2 linked regions of the Macaca mulatta genome follow. The protein of the gene in region 2 interacts with the protein of the main gene of each other region in a pairwise test. Links are inferred from orthologs where the notes say so. Each region holds a gene or a part of one and is shown on either strand. Other genes may lie near its edges.

Region 1 (10,525 bases), on a different chromosome or scaffold from region 2:
GACTTACAAGGCAGCCCCTAAGCCAGGCTGAGGCACGTAGACACAGTTTCTCTGGCTTAAGGCCTTCTGCTCCCTTGTGTAACACTCAGGCCTTGTAAGAAGCAGGTGGATTTTCACCCAGGCCCCTTTAGAGAGCCAGCAGATCAGAACCCTGACAGACTAAGGACATCCCCTGGCCTCGGTGGGTGGACAGGGCTGAAGGCGATGCAGGGGCTGTGCCTGGCAGGATGGACTTTGCAGTGAGTGGGTCCACTGGGGTGGTGGTCCTCTTACTTTATCCCTTTGGCTTTCTGGAGAACCATCTTTCCCGGTGCGGTGGCGCTGTAATGTCTGGGGTGGGGATGTCAGGGTGGTGATGAGAGCTGGTGCAGCCACAGCAAATGCCAGGTCGCCTTTGGGGTGGGAGGTCACAGTCTCCTGAAGTGGGAGAAGCTGAAAGGGCCAGCTCAGTAGCCCTCAGGGTGGACTCCCAGCAGCCCCACCGTGTGCTCATGCCTCAGAGTCCAAGTCACATGATAGAAGGTCCGTGCAACCCTCGAGACCAGCCCAGCCTCCCTGTGGAGCCCAGGGCAGCCTAGCTCTGCAGCCCCAGGCCCCACAGTCAACCCGCTAGAGCCCCTATCTCAGCTCTGCCAAGGTCCCGGGAGGCCTCCCTCATGGCCCACGGAAGTACTCAGGCCTTTCTCGGCCCCTGGAGCAGCCAGCTACTCACCTCCACTACCTGCAGAATAAGGGGCCACAGAAGTAGGCAGCAAGAAAGAGTGACCAGGGGCCAGATGGTCTAAGGAAGGAGGGATTCAAGGCTGCATGCCAGGCAGAGAAATAGCAAACGGAGAAGAATAGCAGAGGCAGGAGGAAAGGCTGCCAGGGCCAGAGGACACAGAGCTACTGTACTCCAAAGAGGCAGCCTGTGTTGGAGAGGGCAGCCGCCAAGCCAATTTACTGTTTATTTTATTACTCTGTGTTGCCGGGCCTTAGGCCAGGGAAGTTATTTCAGGCAAAGATCACAGCACATTAATTAGTTATTAGAAGAATGTCCTTTTCTGTGTGTTCTTCCTGAGACAAGAAATAGACCCCGTGGCGAGCACATATAACAAAGTAGATGGACCCTCAGGGGCAAAACGCCAAGAACTGGGGGAATGAAGAGGCAAGTCTTTGTTTCTGAGGAAAAGGCCCCTCACAGGTTCAGGCCTGGGATGGAGACGAGAATCAAGGCGAGAAGCAGGGATGGGAGAAGGGAGGGGAGGAGACCTTCTGAGACCTAGGCATGGACGCATTTATCCACCCCAGAGCAGCCTCACTCGCTCTGGGGAAGGGATGCAGTGTCAACTCACCCTCTTGGAAAACAACTGCCAAATATGACTCTTAATACAAAAATTTTAAAGTTAAAAAATAATTTAAACAAAACTCTGCCCAACCTTTGGCCTAGCAATTCCACTTCTGGGAATCTCAAAAAAAAAAAAAAACAAAAACAAAAAACAAAAACAAAAACCAAAAAAACCACACACACAATATAGGAAAAAATATTATACACAGAGATATTCAGAATTATTCTACAATAACAAAAAATTAGAAATAGCCTAAAACATCCAAGAGAAGTAGATTAAGCAAATGAAGACTCGTATATACACACAATGAAATAGTATGTAGCTGTTAAAAACAATGCTATTCATTAGTTATTACTCATTAGTTAAATGAATAATTGTATATACAAACAGTGAAATAGTATGCAGTTGTTAAAAATAATGCTTACAAATAATGCTTATAACATGGGAAATGTTCACGCTATAAGTAAGAAAAACTCAGATGCAGTAGCTCACGTCTGTAATCCCCAGCACTTTGGGAGGCTGAGGTGGGTGGACACCCTGAGGTCAGGAGTTCGAGACCAGTCTGCCTAACATGGCGAAACCCCATCTCTACTTAAAATACAAAAATTAGCCAGGCGTGGTAGCGGGCGCCTGTAACCCCAGCTACTTGGGAGGCTGAGGCAGGAGAGTTGCTTGAACACAGGAGGCGGAGGTTGCAGTGAGCCGAGATTGTGCCATTGTACTCCAGCCTGGGTGACACAGTGAGACTCCATCTCAAAAAAAAAAAAAAAAAAAAAACAAACAAGCCAGCACACAAAATTACATGTACAGCATGATCTCAACTGTGCTATAAAATAGCTACAAATACTGGAAATATATTTTATATATAAATTATATGCTTTATATATAAATGTTTTATATGTAAATTAAAATAGCTTCTCCTAAGTCATGGGATTATGGGTGACTTTCTTTCTTCTTTAAATTTATTCTTTTCTATATTTTCCAATTAAAAACAACTGTTTATTGGATTTTATGAGAAAGAAGAAAAGTACACGATTTGGTTCTGGAGGGTTCCCTGTGGTACGACCCCTCCTACAGTGCTGGCTGACACTCCCCCAAGGGGAGACAGCTTTTGACGCATGAGCTAAATTCAGTTGCTGACATGAGTGGAGAGAGGGAACTATTGCACATGGAGGATAAGAAAGAAGAGAGATCTGTCTCTCCCAGTCTTGCTGTCTCCCTCAGATAAGGAATCATCTATGGCAATTTGACTCTGCCACTTTCTTAGACCCAGTTAACAGCCAGCGATGACTCAGGCAAAGCCGGTAGAGTGTCTCAGACAAAAGGCACTTAAACCTGTCTGCTGCTTGGGGATCCTCGCCTCTCCCCATCTTCCCTTCCATTCTGCAAAATGTCTGCTGGGAACCTCCTATAGCTGAGACCCTGGAAGAGGCCCCGGAGATGCTAAGGCATGGATGTTGTCTTGTCAGTGATCGTACTCCAGGAAGGAGAAGCTACAAATAATGTAGGAAAGGTTATAAATACCATATGTGCAGAGAGCCAGGGAAGGCTGAGAGGGCAAGGGCCATCTGCAAATGGCCTGTATTTCCCTTGAGGCATGAATGGGCCAAGTGGAGGCCAGGGCTCACAAAGGAAACCCTGCACACAACCCAGGCAGCTCTGAAGTGCCTTTGGCAGCAATGGGTGCTTAATAAAACAAGGGGCATGGCTTAGATCAGGGATTCCCACCCTGAAGTCCAAAGATGGCCCTTGCACTCCCAACATTATATGCAAATTTGGGATGCATGTACATTTTTCTAAAGATAGAAAGTTAAGAAGCAATGGATTAGATTAATCTCAAAGGCCTCTTGCAGTTCTATCAATACAAAACATACAAGAGCCAACAGGCCCATCTCCCAAACTCCTTCAGAAATCACTTGGCCTCTTAAAGCTGCTGAGCCCTAGGCTGTGTACTCCACAAGGACAAACTCAATGTGGTGTTGTGTTTAGACATCACCTATTAGCATGGTGCTACTTCCAGAAGGCTTGTGTTACAAGGTCGATGTTAGAGAAAATTAGTACCTAGAAAATTAGTAACTAGACTGTTAACTTTTCTGCTCTCCTCACCAAACAAAGCACAGCATTTCACATGCTGTGGATGCTCAGACAGCCAAGGAATAGGAACACGGGTACCCCTGCTTTCCAAACCCTCTGCAGGAGATGAGCACGCTTGACTTTGGGGGTCCACCAAACTCCATTCTCAGTCTGTGGGAGCCTGACTCTTAAGACAGAGGGCCACAGCATTCTCAACAGTTTGGAATGGCTGTAAAAGAGGCCAAGAAAAATGGCCGGCCTTGAAGTTGGGAGGATTGACGACTGGAGAGAAGCCTGTTATCTAAAGATAGGAAGGGCCTCTGGTGGACCTCTCTGAATGCAGGGTGAACAAATTGACTTCTTGAGCTTCTCTCCAGCCCATGGATTCTGTAACTGAAGGGAATGGATGACTCACTCTCAGAGTTACAGGCGTTTAGCCAACCATCTCCTCACATGCATCTAGGACTTAGATCCCAGGTCTGCTGCCCACTCTTTAGATGGCTCTGCACAATTCATTTAACTTCTCTGTGCCTCAGTTATCTCACCTGCAAAGTCAGGAACTGGATGAGACAATGCCAATATCCCTTCCACCTCTAAGAGTCTTTAATATTATTATCGAGCCATTAAGATCAAATAAGAGAAAAGAAAAAAAAAAAACATTCTGCTTCTGGACTCCGTCGAGTCTCCAAGATACATATATACACAGGAGCTCTGCTTTAGAGAAGGAAATGATAAAAGAAGGACAAGTAGCATCCCCAGGCCACCTCCGTCCCCAGGCCTGCACCCATCAGAACTCAGCTGCAACTGTGAGGCCCCCAAGTGAGTGCCAAGCCCCTTGAAAAGCAAGGGAAGAGGTTTTGCCCGAAATGATGTGTTTCTAAAAAGTGAAGATGCAAGACATCCCCACCAGCATGAGGCGCTCCAGAGACCAGGAGCTCTTCCATTGTGCCTCCTGGGGCTCGATTTCATCATCCATAAGATGGGGAGACCAGGAATGGCTTTACACTTGAATACTTCAGGTTGACCACTAGAGCCAAGGGCCAAGTAGAGTGTACAGGTATTGGGTAGCATGGGAAGGGGGACCAGCAAAAATTATGGGGTAAGATTTTGACGCCTGCACACACACATATATCTTCAGAGCCCTCAACTGAAGGCTTCCCATTGGTCCCCTGTCAGGAGTGGAGCACCAGGAGTGACCGGAGGGACTAGGTGCTGGGCTCCGGGGTGGGCTGCCGGGACCCTGGGCCGGCTCACCTGATGAAGGTGGTCTTCCCAGTGGAGTACTGGCCCACCAGCAGAACCATGGGCTTGTTGTCGAAGTCGGCATCCTCCAGGGCGGGCGAGTGGAACTCGTGGAAGCGGTAATGCTCTTCCAAGGGCAGCAGCTTGCTCTTGTAGAGTTTCTTGAGCCCCTCACTCACCGTCTGGAAAACCTCGGGGTCCTTCCTCCGGCGGTCGTCCGTACCCAGCCAGCTGAACATCGCGGCCGCCGCTCGTCCCCGGCACGCAGCCCCAGGGGAAGACTCCTCCTCAGGGAAAGATGTCCCGTAGGACCGGTCCACCGGGCTCCGAGCCGCGCCGCCGCCTCACCCAAGCGCGGAGCTCAGCCGCACCATGGCCCGGGCACGCGGCTAGGAGGGCCGGGAGCGCACTCTCCCTGCTCCTGGGACCAAGTCCGGCCGCCGCTGCATCCAGCAGCCCAGGCCGGAGGGAGGATTAATGATCTGGGCTAGAGGAGGAGGGGTGCAATCTTGGAAATTAAAGTCGAACCTGCAAGGAAACTGCCAGATGCCGGGGTCCCCGATCGGCCCCCAGCCCTTGCCTGCTCTGCCCTGCGTGCAGCAAGGGATGCTTCGGCTCCGCTCCTGCCGGACCGAGGCGGCTCAGGGGAGGCGGCGACGCTGCCCAGCCCGCGGACAGCTCCGCATCCGCAGCAGCATCCTGCAGCCCCAGGCGCTGGTTTAAATGCCAGCTGGGCAGGAAGCCGGAGCGCGGAGGAAGTCCCCGAGTACTGGCAAGGCAGGGCCGGCCCCACGGTCCCGGCGACGGGAAGCCGCGCAGGGCGCCGCCATGTTTGTGGGCAGGCGCTCCGCTCCAGACCTGCGGCCGCGCGGGTAGAGGGATGCTGACCCAGTCCCGGGGGAGAGCGCCGATGTCTCAGTCTCCGCCTCTGGGGCTTCGATTTGGGAACAGCGCCCTCTCAGGGACGGCTGCGAGGACAGAGTTGACCTGTTCATCACCCTCCCTGCATTGAATCGCCTCTCCTTCGGTTGCTGAGGTCAATTCCCTAGGAAAACAGGTACTCTACTATTTGGGATTTTTTTTTTTTTTTTTTGGCATAGAAAGAAGGATCCGCTATCAGGTTCCACAAAATGACCAAAACTGTCACTACCCAAACTTTTAGCTAGGCTTAGGGTGAAGTCATAATCGTTCCCTTTTATTTATTCGTTCATTCCAGCAAAACAAAACAAGCCAACAAGCAAAATCCCTGCAAGTATTGGGCATTTATTATGGGGCAGATACAATTTTGGTGACTGTGGATACAGAGATGAGTGCTGAACAGACTCTTCCTTCCAGGAACTCCAGTGAAGGCAGGCTTTAAAGAGGAGGCATGAGCAGAGGGCCATGGGAATACAGGGAGGATTCACTCCTTTTGTGTGGCTAATTTGAGGAATGCTTCACGGAAAGCATGACTGTAAGCTGGATCCTAAATGATGAATTGACATTCATTATTCTAGCAGCATAAGGAGCATTTGCAAAGGCTTGAGGAACATGGGAGAACTTGGTGTGTCTAAGGCAGAGTAAACTGTTTGGCATAGCTGGAGTGTAGGGTTTAGGAAGGTGGAAGAGAGTGAGGGAGGCCAAGCATGGAAGGCTTTGCCAGAGATGAGGAACCAATAACAATGCTATTACTAATCATTGTTACATTAACAAAATGCTCAGCATGTACAGGGGCCTGGGCTGAGTTCTCAGTGAACATTGCTTTATTTAACCTTCATAGCAGATCATATTATCTCCGGCATCACACCAAGGAGAGTGAGTGGGAACACCGTTCAGGTGTAGGCAAAAGCAGTGCATTGTGTGTAGAGAATTTAAACCCAGTAATAAACTGGCTGAAAGTTGATGTGCTTTGTATTGGCACCATTCTAAACAGTATAGTGAGAAAACACTCTTCCCTGCCCAGGCTGATGGCTCCCACTACCCTCCCTTTCACAGATGAAGAAGGAGGAGGTTATGGACCAGGCAGGGACTGGAATGCCAAGAGCAGTGTCGGGGGCAGGGACTGGAGGAGCAAGAGGTTGGAGATTGATATGGTTTTGCTCTGTGTCCCCACATAAATCTCATCTCTAATTGTAATCCCCGTAATCCCCACGTGTCTAGGGACAGAGCTGGTGGGAGGAGATTGGATCATGGGAACAGTTTCCTTCATGCTGTTCTCATGATACTGAGTGAGTTCTCGTGAGAGCTGATGGTTTTATAAGGGGCTCTTCCCGCTTCGCTCCTCACACTTCTTTCTCCTGCCACCTTGTGAAGGACGTGTTTGCTTCCCCTTTCACCATGATTGTAAGTTTCCTGAGGCCTCCCTAGCCATGCAGAGCTGTGAGTTAATTAAACCTTTTTCCTTTATAAATTACCCAGTCTTGGGTATTTCTTCATAGCTGTGTGAAAACAGACTAATACAGAGGCCAAGAGACCATTTAGGAAACGATTCCAAAACTTGACAGCAGCAATGGGATTGTAGAAGAGGTCAGACTCAAAAGATTTTTTCATGGAATAGAATTGTCAGATCTTGGTACGTGATAAAAAAGAGGACATCAGGGTGAGGCACAGTCTAGGATGATTTTGAATTTTCTACCATAGGGGATAAGATCGTCGGAGAAGCTCTTCCACTATTTAGGGGAGGCACAGAGAGAGCTGATTTAGCAGACAGATATAATGTATTTAAACTAAAACATGTTGCATTTGAAGTGCCTGCAGGAGCTTCAAGAAGAGTATGGTGAAGCTGCAGGGATTTCAGAGGAGGGCGGATTGATCAGAGGCCAGTGCTGAATAGAATCTCCTTAGTTACATCTCAGATCTCCCGACTCTGTCCTTGAAACCCAAAACTGATCACCTCTTGTTGAGAATTCACTCAGATTAATATTTCACCCTTGGTATTTAGTTACTACCAGCATACAAACCTAAGAAATAATATTAAAGATATTTAACAACTCACAAGGTATGAGAATCAAACACCCAGAACAGACACTGGCCTTCCCAGTGGAACAAGACTTGAGCCCTGTGCCATACCTGGTGTTAATACAGTGGTGTCTGGACCTTGGAGAGGTCTGGGCCTGTCCCCGGGGAGAGGACAGGATGGCCAGCGTGACAGGAAAGAAATCAAGGGGCCCCATTATGGAAATATTTCAAGAATTTTGTAATCAGTACAACCATGCCATTGTCTGCTGAATGTCTGTTCTGAATATCTAATTTGCTGAGTGCCTGTTGACACATCTACTCCCGTCTGAGTCTTGAGTAGTTGAAATCTGTCTGTTTAAAAAAGGAACTAATGGAGCATTTCTGTAGACTAGCAATAAAAAGTCATAAAAGATAATATTCAAAAAAGATACCATTTTCAAAAGAACAAAAACCTAGGGATAAATCTAACAAAAGATGTGCAAGATCTTTATGTGAAAAATGATAAAACTTTATAGAAAGATGTTAAAGAAGTTCTAAATAAATGGGAGAGACATGTCATGTTCCATCGTGGAAAGATTCCGTGTCACAAACATGTGAATTTTTACAACATAATTGATAAATTCAATAGTTGAGAGATATGATTGAAATCAAAATCTAAATAAGGTTTTCCATGGAAATTGACAAGGTGATTCTAAAATGTATAGCATATAGAGCAATAGTAAAATATAGCTTAGATATTCCAGGAGAAGAAAGAAGATAAGAGGAACAAGGAGGAGGAGGAGGAGGAGAGGGAGAGGTGGAAGGGGAAGGAGGGAAGAAAAAGGAGAACAGGGAAGAGAAGAAGACAACAGTAACATAGCAATGTCAACAACTAAGTGAAGAGAACTTGCCCTAGTGGACATTACTATAAAGTTGCAGTGGTTAAGATGGTTTTGGCACAGAGACCAACAGAATAACGACACAGTAAATAGCCAGGAAATTTGGAAACCTGATATCTACAGAAGTTGCTTTAGAGATTGCATATATATCACCACAAAGTCAGGAAGAATTCTTTAAACAAGATATCAGAAGTACAAACTGAAAATGAAAAAAACTAAGTTTAGCACTAGCAAAATTTTAAACTGTCGTTCAACTAAAAATAAAAAAGTGAGTGAAAAGATATTTCCCATACACAAAAACCCACAAAAGCATATCCAGAATATAGAATTAATGCCTGTACATTGATTAAAAAAAGACAAACATTCCAATAGACAAAAACTTGGCAAGAGCCACAAAAATGTCTTTTACAAGAGGCTACATGAATGTCCTATAAACACAAGAAAAGATGTTGCATCTCATTAGTAATTAGAGAAATGCCAAACCACACTAACACTCCATACCCACCAAAATGGCAAGAATGAAATAGTTGGATGATACCAAGGTTGGTGAGGATGTAGAGCCATGGGAGCTCTCATAAAATGCTGGTGGGTGTGCAGGCTGGCACAAACACTTTGGGAAACAATGTGGCATTGCTTCGTGAAGCTGAAGATGTGCATGACCTGCCATTCTATTTCAAGGCATGATCTAGAGAAACTCTTGCACATGTGCATAGGGAGATAAGTCTAAGAATGTTGATGGTAGCATTATTTGTAGCAGCAAAAATATATAAACAACTAAATGTCCTTCACCGAGTAAATGGATGAATTGTACCACATTCATGTGAAATATATAGCACACTGGGGTCTAGTTGAGGGTGGAGGATGGGAGGAGGGAGAGGAACAAAAAGCAAGACCTATTGGGTACCAGACTTAACACCTGGGTGATGAAATAATCTGTACAGCAGACCGCCATGACACAGGTTTACCTATATAACAAACCTGAACCTGAACCTGAAATAAAAGTTACAAAAAATACATACTCTACAGATGAGAAAAATGAGGAAAGTGGTGCTACCGATGCCAAAATATAGTGTTGAGTGAATAAAGCCAGAAGTAGGCTATTATGCATAGAATCATACAATTTCATTAATGTTTTCGGTCATGTAAAAACCACTATCTGTTGTTCATGGATGCATATGTGTGCATTGAAAATTTTTAAAAGAGAAGCAAAGGAACATAAAACACTAGTCAGGAATGAGGTGTTCTCTGGGGACTAAAAAGGGAAATGGCATTGGGGATGGGTACACAAAACACAAGGAGCTTCAACTATATATACACTGTTTTCTTTCTTTTTCTTTTCTTTTTCTTTTTCTTTTTTTTTTTTTTTTTGAGACAGGGTTTTCCTCTGTCGCCCAGGCTGGAGTGCAGTGGTGCCATCTCGGCCTACTGCAACCTCTACCTCCTGGATTCGAGAGTTTCTCCGCCTGCCTCAGCCTCCGAAGTAGCTGGGACTACAGGCATGAGCCACCACGCCTGGCTAATTTTTGTATTTTTAGTAGAGATGGGGTTTCACCATGTTGGCCAGGCGATTATCTCTCAAATTTGATAGTGAGTACTTGGCTATTCATTTCTTATTCCTTTTATCCTTTATTTAAAAAAAACTGATCCTTGGATGCACAAAGTTGGATTTTTTTTCATAATTGTGGTTCAAGACAAACTATACCTGGCTCTTTTATTATATTTTTTAAAAACTTAACACATATTTATGTAATGGACCCTTGATGAACCCATCATTCAAACCGAGGACTAGAAAAATTAGCAGTAATTTACATCTACTTATGTGCTCCTCCCCATCCTGTCTCCTGCCCCTTCTCCTTCTTTCTAGAGGAGCCTGCTATCCTGAATCTACTGTGTATTGTTACCTTGCTTCTTAATTACTGTTACACACAAATGCAAACCGAAAGAACATATTGTTGAGGTTTAGTGTTTTTGGACTTTTTATAAAAAGCATATCCTGCTACATGTAGTGTCTCTGGAACTCGACTTTTCTCCCATTCAACATTTGTTTTCAGCCCCATCTGGCTCCAC
Region 2 (10,425 bases):
GCCTCCTAGGTTCAAGCGATTCTCGTGCCTCAGCCTCCCTGAGTAGCTGGGATTACAGGCGTCTGCCACCACGCCCAGCTAATTTTTGTATTTTTAGTAGAGACGAGGTTTCACCATGTTGGCCATGCTGGTCTCAAATTCCTGACCTCAGGTGATCCACCCGCCTCAGCTTCCCAAAGTGCTGGGATTACAGGCATGAGCCACTGCACCCAGCCGGGCCTTTAAAAATAGGTTTAAAAAATGTTTCTTGTGTGTTTCTCAATGCTTTTAGTTACTTACAGATTGTTACCTGAGGTGATTTGAGGGAAGGGGTATGTTTAGTGAATTAGTGTTAATCAAAATCACTAGCTAATTAAAAGAGAAATGTTCTCACAAGAAAAATAATTATGATGGAAAGCAGCAATTAGCTTCTGAAACTACCTGCTTTTCAGTTCATCCTCTTTTCAGAGAAATTAGAGCCTAAGCAGGGAGGAGCCTACTGGCCATCTAGGAAACCCTCTGGAGTATCAGAGAAATGTCATGGGCCTCAGGGAAGAAAAGAGGCCTGTACCAGGCAACATCTTAGATGCCTGGTTGCCAACTTCTCAAAACAACCCATAACCACCAGCAGGGCTAGTAACTGGCTGACATTCGTTAACCCACTCGTATGGCTGTTTGTGAACAGATCCCAAATGCAAAGGGTCCCCACTCCCCGTCTCCATACCCTATACAAGACCTTTTCATTCAACCAAAAGGATAAGAAATGTGATACAGAAATGTGAACATCAACACAAATACAGATTATTTTTTCATCAAGAGAGTTCAAACATTCCCATTATCAAGAGGGATCTTCACCAGAATGTAACAAAATTAATTTCAGCTCTCACACCAGTAACCAGTGAAAGTATGGCCTAAAGCTAGTTACAGGGCATAAAGTGACCAGTGGTCAGTTATTGTTCATTAGTTAAGATGAGTAACTGCAGAAACTCTACCCGGAGCTGAGCACATGTGGCTATCATGATATCAGATGTCAGTTAAGGGTTATGTTCCTGTAAACCAAAGCACCAGAGCTAAATTAACAATTTCCCTTTCTGGTCTTAATTGACTAATAGTTAAGTACTGTGGGTACTACCAGCACGATCCTGGGTTGTGCTTCTTCAAACATTTCAGTTTCTTAATACTAACATTGGTAATAAAACATCTCATCAGGGCGGGCACAGTGGCTCACGCCTGTATTCCCAGCACTTTGGGAGGCCAAGGTGGCAGATCACTTGAGGCCAGGAGTTCAAAACCAGCCTGGTCAAAACAGTGAAACCCCATCTCTACTAAAAATAGAGAGATTAGCCAGGCATGGTGGTCCACACCTGTAATCCCAGCTATTCAGGTGGCTGAGACACAAGAATCACGTGAACTGGGGAGGTGGAGGTTGCAGTGAGCTGAGATCATGCTACTGCACTCCAGCCTGGGCAACAAAGTGAGACTCTTGTCTCAAAAACAAACAAACAAAAAAAATCTCATCAGTGCCCCAGGTCAGAACACAGTGAACCAGAAGGGAAGACGGCTGATCCAATAGCCTTGGAAATTAATTTAGCTTCTGACTCTGGGAAGCTTCCCTTCTTCTGGTGATGTTTTGCAAAAGCTTCCAGATCACCGATTCCTAAATTAGAGACCAGGCCTTTTAAACAGACCCAGATCAGAGTAACTTTGCCAAAGCTCTGGAGGGAGATTTCTCCAGTGACAGACAATTGTTCCATCAGAACAAGGGTGGGGAAACTCTTCTCACAAGTAATACTAGTATCAACCAAAAAGTTAACCACTCTTATTTTCTAAAAAGCTCAGGACCAGATTCACACTGATACCCTGCACTGGCAGCTTAACTTCCTGAAAGAGACAAAAAACAACTTAAACTGAGAAAATAGACCCTGGTGAAATGTTCCCATCACCCCACCTTAAAAAGAGGTGCTGGGCTCTCCTGGATCTAAACTCTCCCCTTCATAGCAGCACTTCCCCCTGCTATTGTACAGACAGGAAGCGCAGAGCAGGGGAGAGGCGGCCCCAGGTGAAATGGAACTCAAAGCCTACTAGGGATGGACTTCTGTCAGAGCAGAATATAGCTCAGTGGAATCTATCTTCTCTGTCTTGGCTAAAGAAGGGCTCTATAAAGGCTGCCCTATAATACTGCAAAAGGAACCAAGACTAGGCAGTAGCAAATAGACCCAAGAGGTACACAGCAGCCATTTCTGCCCTGGGCCCAACAGAGCTGCATTTAGTTATATCTCGATAGTAAAAATGTAAAGTCCCTTCAAAAGGGGTAAACCTCCAATTACAAAAGATAGTAATAATAAACAGGAAAAACAGCAAATAAATGCTGATTCTCCCTGTTCTAGTTTCTATTCTATTATTCAACTGTAGTGGAAACACCTCAAAGTGCACAACACAAAACAGCAGATTCCTGCCCCTCACCTGTGTGCATCTGACTTCTCACCCTGCCACCTTCCCCATCCACCCTGCCTGCCCTCTGTCCTGCTCCACTGGCTCCTGCCAGACCCCTGGGCCCAAAGGTGCCCTCTCCACTGCCAGTCAGTCAGTGCCCCCCTTCTGCTTGGCCAGGGTGTGCTTCAGCTCCCGCAGGTTCTCTGTCAGCACCTCTACCTCATCTAGGCGGCCACACTGCTTGGCATCAAAGATGTATGCCTTGATGTTATCGATCTGCTGCAGGAGGAGCTCTTCCTCTATGGGCTCCTCAGCCTCCGGCCCACTGTCACTGTCCATCTCAAAGGGGTTGGTACAGGTGGGTTCCTCAAAGGGGTTGCCAGGAACCAGAGGGCTTGAGGGCCTCTGCTGGGGATGTTCATCTTCCTCGTTGAAGGGGTTAGGAGCTGGGCTGTCTGGCTGAATGAATGGATTCCCTGCCACTGCCTCCTCCTCCTCGTCCTCTTCCTCGAAAGGATTGTACTCTTTCAGCATGCGGGCTGAAGGGTCGAAGGAAACCCCGGCAGCAGGAGGACTAGTAGTGCCCTCTTCCATGGGGCTGGAGAGGTCTTCCTCATCAAAGGGGTTTAAGGAGGGCCCCTCATGTTGCTGTGGCATGCTGCTCTGGGTTAAGAGCTCCTGGCCAAGGGCTGGGGGCCCAGACCACACTCTGGTGGGCTGTTGAGTTGAGCTAGGTGACGGGGTCTTGGGAGCTGTGCTGCTTGGAACTGGGGAAGAGCCTAGATCCAAAGCATAAGCAAGGTGGGTGCGAGGCTCTCTGCTGGGCTCCAGCTGAAAAGGGCCGATTTCTCGGAAGTCCAGGGACCGAGTCCGTGTGTGCAGGGATGCCACCCGAAACTGCTCCCTTTCTCGTTCCAACTCCCGTTCACGCAGCATCTGCAGCTGTTCCCGCTGCAGGTCCTCCTCCTCAGCCTGCCTCCGGGACAGCTCGATGGCCTTCTCTGTCTGCTGCTGGTCATACTCGTCCTGTAGCTGCCGCAGGTTCTCCTGCAGGGTGCGCACTTCATCCGTGCGGCCCGCGGCCTTGGCCTGCCTGATGAATGATGTGATGTTGTGGATCTGCTGGAGGAGCGGGTCTGAGTCCTCACTCTGCCCCTGACCTCCTGACAGCGGGAGCCAGCCCTCAGCCTTTCTCAAGAGGGCAGAGCCCCTGCGGAGAGATGCCACCTCCCCGTTGGCTGCTCGAGAAGCCAGGCCACTCTGCCTTTCCTCAAGCCTTCGCTGAGACTCCAGGGCAGCCTGGGGAGAGAGCAAAGCAGAGAGAAGAAATAGTCACCATGCTGGCAACAGCCCACACTGTCACCCACCCTCTGTTGTCCCTCTATCCCTGTGCCAGTGACACTCCAATTTCTCACCTCAGGACAAAGATATCCAACTGCTAAAATCAAGTCATGTTTTTGTGTATATGTGGGCAGAAGGGAGACCCTGATTTTCAAAAATAAAAATAAAATATAATGAATAAGTTAGGGCATCAGATTTTCTCAATCTTAGATTCACAGGCCATATACTCTTCTTAAACCTCTGAGGTCTGTTCCCCTCATCTACACTGGAATCTCACACAGCGTTAAATACACATATAATTTTCTGTTTAATATTGCATATACCAATATGTTCTACAAGGAACTTCCTAATGTCTTGGTCCTCTGCAACTTCTGCCATAGGGAGAACTGTTAATCTCTGTGATATTCTAGCCATGAGAGAATCAGCAGAAGCTCTGAAAGAAAAATAGGACCTGGGGAGAAAAACAATTATTCTAGTTCCCATAGATAAAAGTGAGGCTGAAACACAACAGAAGAAATATGCACATTTGAGAGAGAGGTTCTGATTCACTACAACCCCACACAAGCTGGGAGCTCACGGCAGCCTCTGTGCTTGAGAACCACAGGAGGAAGCGGGCCCCATATCCCTGGCTTCACTCACTTGTCTCTCCATGGCCCTCTTCCTCTCCATTTCCTCCTTCCTTTTCTTTTTCAGTTCCTCAAACTGTTCTTTGGTTGGCAGTGACATCAAACCAAGCAACTTTTCCTGCAGGGAATGACAGACAATTTTACACTTAAACCCTTTGAGAGAAAAAATGACCCTTAAGCCCCATGATGAGAGTTTGCTTAAGCTGAGCCACTCTATTCTCCGAGAGTGACATCATTTGACAGTAGCCGGAAAGGAGCACACTCTTATATTGGGTGAGAGTCAACTCCAAATGGGCCTGCATTTTCCTCATGAAATGATCAACATCAGATATCCCAGTTATTCACCTGGCTCCAATGTTAGCTTCTCTATGAGGTCTTGTCCCTGCCCATCCTATTAGCAAACCTCAATCCCAGTCCTCTCTCCCACACTTCCTTGTTGTAAATTTCTCCACAGCACTTTTGCTATCTTATATACTAGATATTTTAGTTGTTTGTGATCTCTCCCCTTCTTTAGAACACAAGCTTAATGAGAACAGGAACATTGGTCTTTTTTGTTCACTATAGGACATCCAGCACCTAAAACACTACCTGGTATATAGGAGGCGCTCAATAAATGATTGCTGAATAGAATCACTAATCAAAGTGAGGAAGGACCTACTTCTCTGTATTACAAAGTCAGAAAACTAACCCAACAGGACTCCATCTATTAGATCTCTTTGTTGGCTGGGGGCAGTGTGGTTCACGCCTATAATCCCAGCACTTTGGAGGCCGAGGTGGGCAGACTGCTTGAGCTCAAAAGTTTGAGACCAGCCTGGGCAACATGGTAAGACCCTGTCCCTACTTAATGAAAGAAAAAAAAAGAAAAAAACACTTTGTTTTAATTAAAAAAAAAAAAAGAAAAAAAAGATCTCTTTGTCAGGGAGCCCCAAGGGTGGTTAACTGTGACTCTCTCAGAAGGGGCCTTCACGGGTAGAAAGACACAATTCAGACCTAACCACTTAGGTTAGTCTGCCCTTAATCGGCTGTTTCCTCCCAGCTAATGGCTCAGGAAGTCTCTTAGGAGATTATCCTAAGGAAGAAATACTAAGTACCAGTATTACTATCATGGCAACAATTAACAGCAGCAAAAAATTAGTCTATCAAATGCTCAACTAAAGGAAAACGGTTAAAGAATGGCATATACAGTCAATATGCACTATTGTAAATACTGTATATAAAAAATACAAATAGGAAAAAAGAAAACATACCAGAATAATGAGTGATTGTAATGGGGACATAGGATTAAAAGTAGTTTTAGTTTTCTCTGAAATCCAGATTTTTCTCTAAGTGTGGCATCATGCATTCATAATTTCAAAAAATAATACAATGTATAAATAGGAAGTAAACAAGTCACTGGCATGGATCTGCCTCTGGGGAAGCAAAAGAGCAGGACAGGCCAAGCATGACATTTATGCCAACCCAGGATGGCTTTACCTGCACAAAAAGTGTAGCTGAGTATCTGATCATTCTCTGCAGCCGCAAATTGCTTGGATGTGGTGGAGGATCCTGGTTCAAGCCCAAGGTTAAGATCTTCTTACTGAATTGGAACAAACACATGAATATAATGAGCACTGCCAGCTTCAGAAACAAGGGTGAAAAGTATAACATCTGGAGTTGCCAGGCTTTCATGCCAGGAAGGTGTGTAAAGATGGGCAAGTGACTCCATCGAAGTTTCCTTGAAGGCAAAGCCCATTTCTTACCCTTTGGCCGTACACAGGCCTCAGCACAGGGCGCACAACACTGTCATGGAGGGACTGACTACACATGCAGAGCCAGCTTCACAGGTGAGCAACCTATGCAACTAGAAAGGACTGGCACTTCAAAGAGCCCTATGCTTAGTTTAATGCTCTGCTGTTAGTGTCTTTATTCTTAATAATTTTTGGACAGGGGACATGCATTTTCACTTTGTACCAGGCCCTGCATCTACGTAGCCCATGCTGTATGTCTGGATGGACAAAAGCGCCTCATCTCATTCTCCCTCTGAGTCACTGTACTTCCCATAAATCAAAGGGCTAATTTAACCCCAATGGCCAGTCCACAGTTAAAAAGCAGTTGTGGATTTGAGCACAGACACAAAGAAAGAACCCGAGTTTCTATCTTTGCTCCACAACTTTTGCTATCTGTGACATGATTCCTCACCTTTGACACAGGATGTTAATCCCTACCTCACAGGGTAACTTCAGAATAAATGAGCTATTCTAGAGAAAACAGCCAGTGAGTAGCACATGATAGGTGTCAATAACTAGCTCCTCTTTCTTTAACAATAACAAACATTAGAAATCCTTAATGAAACAAAAGTCACTGAGATGCATTAAGTGCCAGAGTTGGCCCCTTCCTTGCCCTCCTCCTCACCCACTGCCCCATCACCAGAAGTGTGAGTGAGTGCAGGTCTACTTTCGCCATTTCATTAGAACAGCATCTTCTCCATTCCACCAGCGGGCAAGATACCACTTAATGGACCTTACCTTAAAGCGTCTATCAGCTCATACACTTTCTGCACTTCCACTCGAAGGTCACTGGCATGTTCCAGACTGTAGGTTGTCTCCCCAGCACTAAGGAGAAACCACAGAGACACGTGACCTAAGTTTCATAGTGCAGACTGGCCAGCATAGTGTAGAAGGATGCTAAAGGTGTAAGGCCTCACAAAGGCAGGTAATTCTCTAAAGGTGGCATTTCAGACTTTTGGATATAATGCAGTGTCCATCTCTTGGAATGATGAATCAAGTGGAAGTGACGTTTCGATTTGCAGACACAATAGGGACAGACTCAGGTTGACGCCTCCAAGGACTAGCCCTTATGCTCATCACCAAAACAAATGCGGCTGAATTTACTCTGGCCTACTTTCTCTAAACAATTCCACTGCCTCTAACAAGATGTTAGAAGTGGTTTACTAAATCAGTTGGTTACATTAAAAGCAGAAAACTACTTGGCTTTTCTCGCTCAAAAGTACCCAAGGAGGTTCGAGACCAGCCTGGCCAACACGATGAAACCCCGTCTCTACTAAAAATACAAAAATTAGCCAGACATCATAGTGGGTGCCTGTAATCCCAGCTACTCAGGAGGCTGAGGCAGGAGAATCGCTTGAACCAGGAGGCGGAGGTTGCAGTGAGCCAAGGTCGCACACTGCATTCCAGCCTAGGCGACAGAACAAAACTTGGTCTCAAGAAAAAAAAAAAAAAAAAATATATATATATATATATATATACACACACACACACACACATGGTTTTGTTTTAAACAAGGCAAATCTACTGCTACATGCATTGCTTTAAATGTGGCAGAGAGGCAACACAGGTTTAAGACAAAGTCAGAAAACTCTGAAATTAATAACACTGGATACCATAATTAATTCTTTTCCTATAGGTTGGGAAAACACTACTGGGATCTGACTCTAGTAGTTAGCACTTCAACTTCTAGGTCACAAACACTAAGCTTCAGAAAAAGCCATGCCCTTAAACAGGGATCAGCAAATTTTTTCCATAAGGAGCCAAATCATAAATGTTTTCAGCTTTGCAGGCCACAAAGTCTCTGTTGTTGCTATTCAACTCTGTCGTGGTGGTGCAAAAGCAGCTACAACCAGTAATCAAACATGGGCATGGCTGTGTTCCAATAAAACTTTATGCAAACAGGTGGCAATAACTAGTATTAGTAAGGCTAAAAAGAAAGTGAAACCCTCATACACTGCTAGTGGGAATGCAAAATAGTGCAGTCATTCTAGAAAACGATTTAGCAACTCCTCTATGGAATGTTACTCTATGGTAATATATAGTTAGCATAAAACCCAGCAATTCCACTCCTAGGTACCTACCTGAGAGAAATGAAAACATGTCTACACAAAAACCATAAAAACTTGTACACAAATATTACAGGAGCATTATTTATAACAGCCAAAAGTGGAAAAATACCAAATGTTCAACAACTGATGGATCAACAAAATGTGACAAGTATCCACACAACACATTCATACAGATGCAATGAAGTACTGATATATGCAACAACATGGATGAATCTTAAAAACATTACACTTTGTGAAAGAAGCCAGACAAGAGAGATTTTATATTTATGATTCTATTTATATGAAATGTCAAAAACAAACAAATCCATAGAGACGGGAAATAGATTAGTGGTGTCCAGGGAGATGGGGAAAGGGCAGTGGCTGCTAATGTATGGGGTTTCCTATTGGGGTGATGAAAATGTTTAGAATGAAGACAGTGGTAATGTTCGCATAATTTTGTGAATACACTAAAAACCACCGAACTGTACACTTTAAAAGGGTAAAGTTTATAGTGTATGAACTACATCTCGATTTTAAAAAAGAAGCAGATGTTGGCCAAGGGCAGTGGCTCACGCCTGTAATCCCAGCACTTTGGGAAGCTGAGGTGGGTGGATCATGAGGTCAAGAGATCAAGACCATCCTGGCCAACATGGTGAAACCCCGTCTCTACTAAAAATATAAAAAAATTAGCAGGGCATGTTGGCGTGTGCCTGTAATCCCAGCTACACGGGAGGCTGAGGCATGGGAATTGCTTGAATCCAGGAGGTGGAGGTTGCAGTGAGCCCAGATTGCGCCACTGCACTCCAGCCTGGGCGACACAGCAAGACTCCATCCCTCCCCCTGCCAAAAAAAAAAATATATATATATATATATATATATATATATATATATATATATATTAGCTGGGCGTGGTGGTGTGTGCCTGTAGTCCCAGCTACTTGAGAGACTGAGGCAGGAGAATCACTTGAACCCGGGAGGTGGAGGTCGCAGTGAGCCAAGATCACGTCACTGCACTCCAGCCTGTCAACAGTGAGACAGAGTCAAAAACAAAAAAAAAAAGCAGATGTCAGGATACATTTGGCCCATGGGCTGCAGTCTGCCAGCCCCTGCTCTAATGGACATGCCTACTTTAAGCCCTGACACCTCAATGTGACACTCAAGTGGCATCTACCCAGGCATGAGCATGAGACCCACTGCCCTTCCTCTGCTCTGTCCAGATGCTGCACTCAGCAGCAGTACCTATTGTCTGAGGCCCTTCCCAAACCTGCTCAGTCAGAATAGCCAAGGTCAACTGAATGTGGCTGTCTTTTTACAAGCTCATGTGATGGTAACATGTACCCCACTAAAAGACAGACATGAAGGTGATTCTCTTCATAACAGCCAAAAGTGGAAAAAAACCAACTTCAGCTGGTCTCAGAAAAAAAGCACAGTTGAAGTTAAGATTTTCATTTTTGGCTACTGGAGAACTGACCTAAGATGCCAGAAAACAGTCACCACTGGATTAGAAAAACATAGATGAATAGCTTACTTTAATGATGCTGCCATCCTGATGTATTCTGGAGCTTTCTGGTCAACTTTCTCCATGCAAAGTCGTAATTTCTAAGAACAAAAACAAAGCGGTAAGTGGTATGCTCAAGATACAGAAAAGCCTACCCAGAAGCTAGGCTCCATCAATGGAGATATATAAATGTTCACTTTTCCAACATATTAATTGTTGTTATCAATTTCCTGATTTATAGACCTACTTTCCAAGCAGAAAATTTTGTAGGAAGGAAAGAAAGTGAGAATGGAGCTTCTGACCAGATGTTTTGTTTTGTTTTGTTTTTTGAGGAGTTTTGTTCTGTCACCCAAGCTGGAGTACAATGGCGTAATCTCCGCTCACTGCAACCTCTGCCTCCTGGACTCAAATGATTCTCATGCCTCGGCCTCCTGAGTAGCTGGAATTACAGGTGCACCGCCACCACGCCCGGCTAATTTTTATTTTTTTAGTAGAGACAAGGTTTTGCCATGTTGGCCAGGCTGGTCTTGAACTCCTGGCCTCAAGTGATGTGCCCACCTTGGCCTCCCAAAGTGTTGGGATTATAAGAGTGAGCCACCACACCCAGCCAGATGTTTTTGAGAGGAGTAAGGCTTCCAGGGCACAAGCCGAGGCGTCTACCAAGACAAAAAGGAATTAGCTGCTACTTTCTTTCTCTGCCAAGTGATGCCAGGCAACATTAGGAAACCAGCACA

What was found. The genes of interacting proteins can lie anywhere in the genome.
Region 1: the proteins of RBSN (region 2) and EHD3 interact in binary tests that used the Homo sapiens proteins (3 or more experiments, as listed by UniProt). The link is inferred for Macaca mulatta from reciprocal best matches to the Homo sapiens genes RBSN and EHD3.

The regions. Positions count from the first base shown.
Region 1 is NC_133418.1:93,689,553-93,700,077, forward strand, and holds the start of EHD3 (EH domain-containing protein 3), read right to left. Parts: upstream 5,481-10,525; 5' UTR 4,883-5,480; coding exon 4,656-4,882; intron 1-4,655. UniProt on the Homo sapiens protein: ATP- and membrane-binding protein that controls membrane reorganization/tubulation upon ATP hydrolysis. In vitro causes tubulation of endocytic membranes. Binding to phosphatidic acid induces its membrane tubulation activity.
Region 2 is NC_133407.1:153,876,824-153,887,248, forward strand, and holds the end of RBSN (rabenosyn-5), read right to left. Parts: intron 9,793-10,425; coding exon 9,722-9,792; intron 6,971-9,721; coding exon 6,884-6,970; intron 5,956-6,883; coding exon 5,853-5,955; intron 4,498-5,852; coding exon 4,393-4,497; intron 3,712-4,392; coding exon 2,560-3,711; 3' UTR 757-2,559; downstream 1-756. UniProt on the Homo sapiens protein: Rab4/Rab5 effector protein acting in early endocytic membrane fusion and membrane trafficking of recycling endosomes. Required for endosome fusion either homotypically or with clathrin coated vesicles.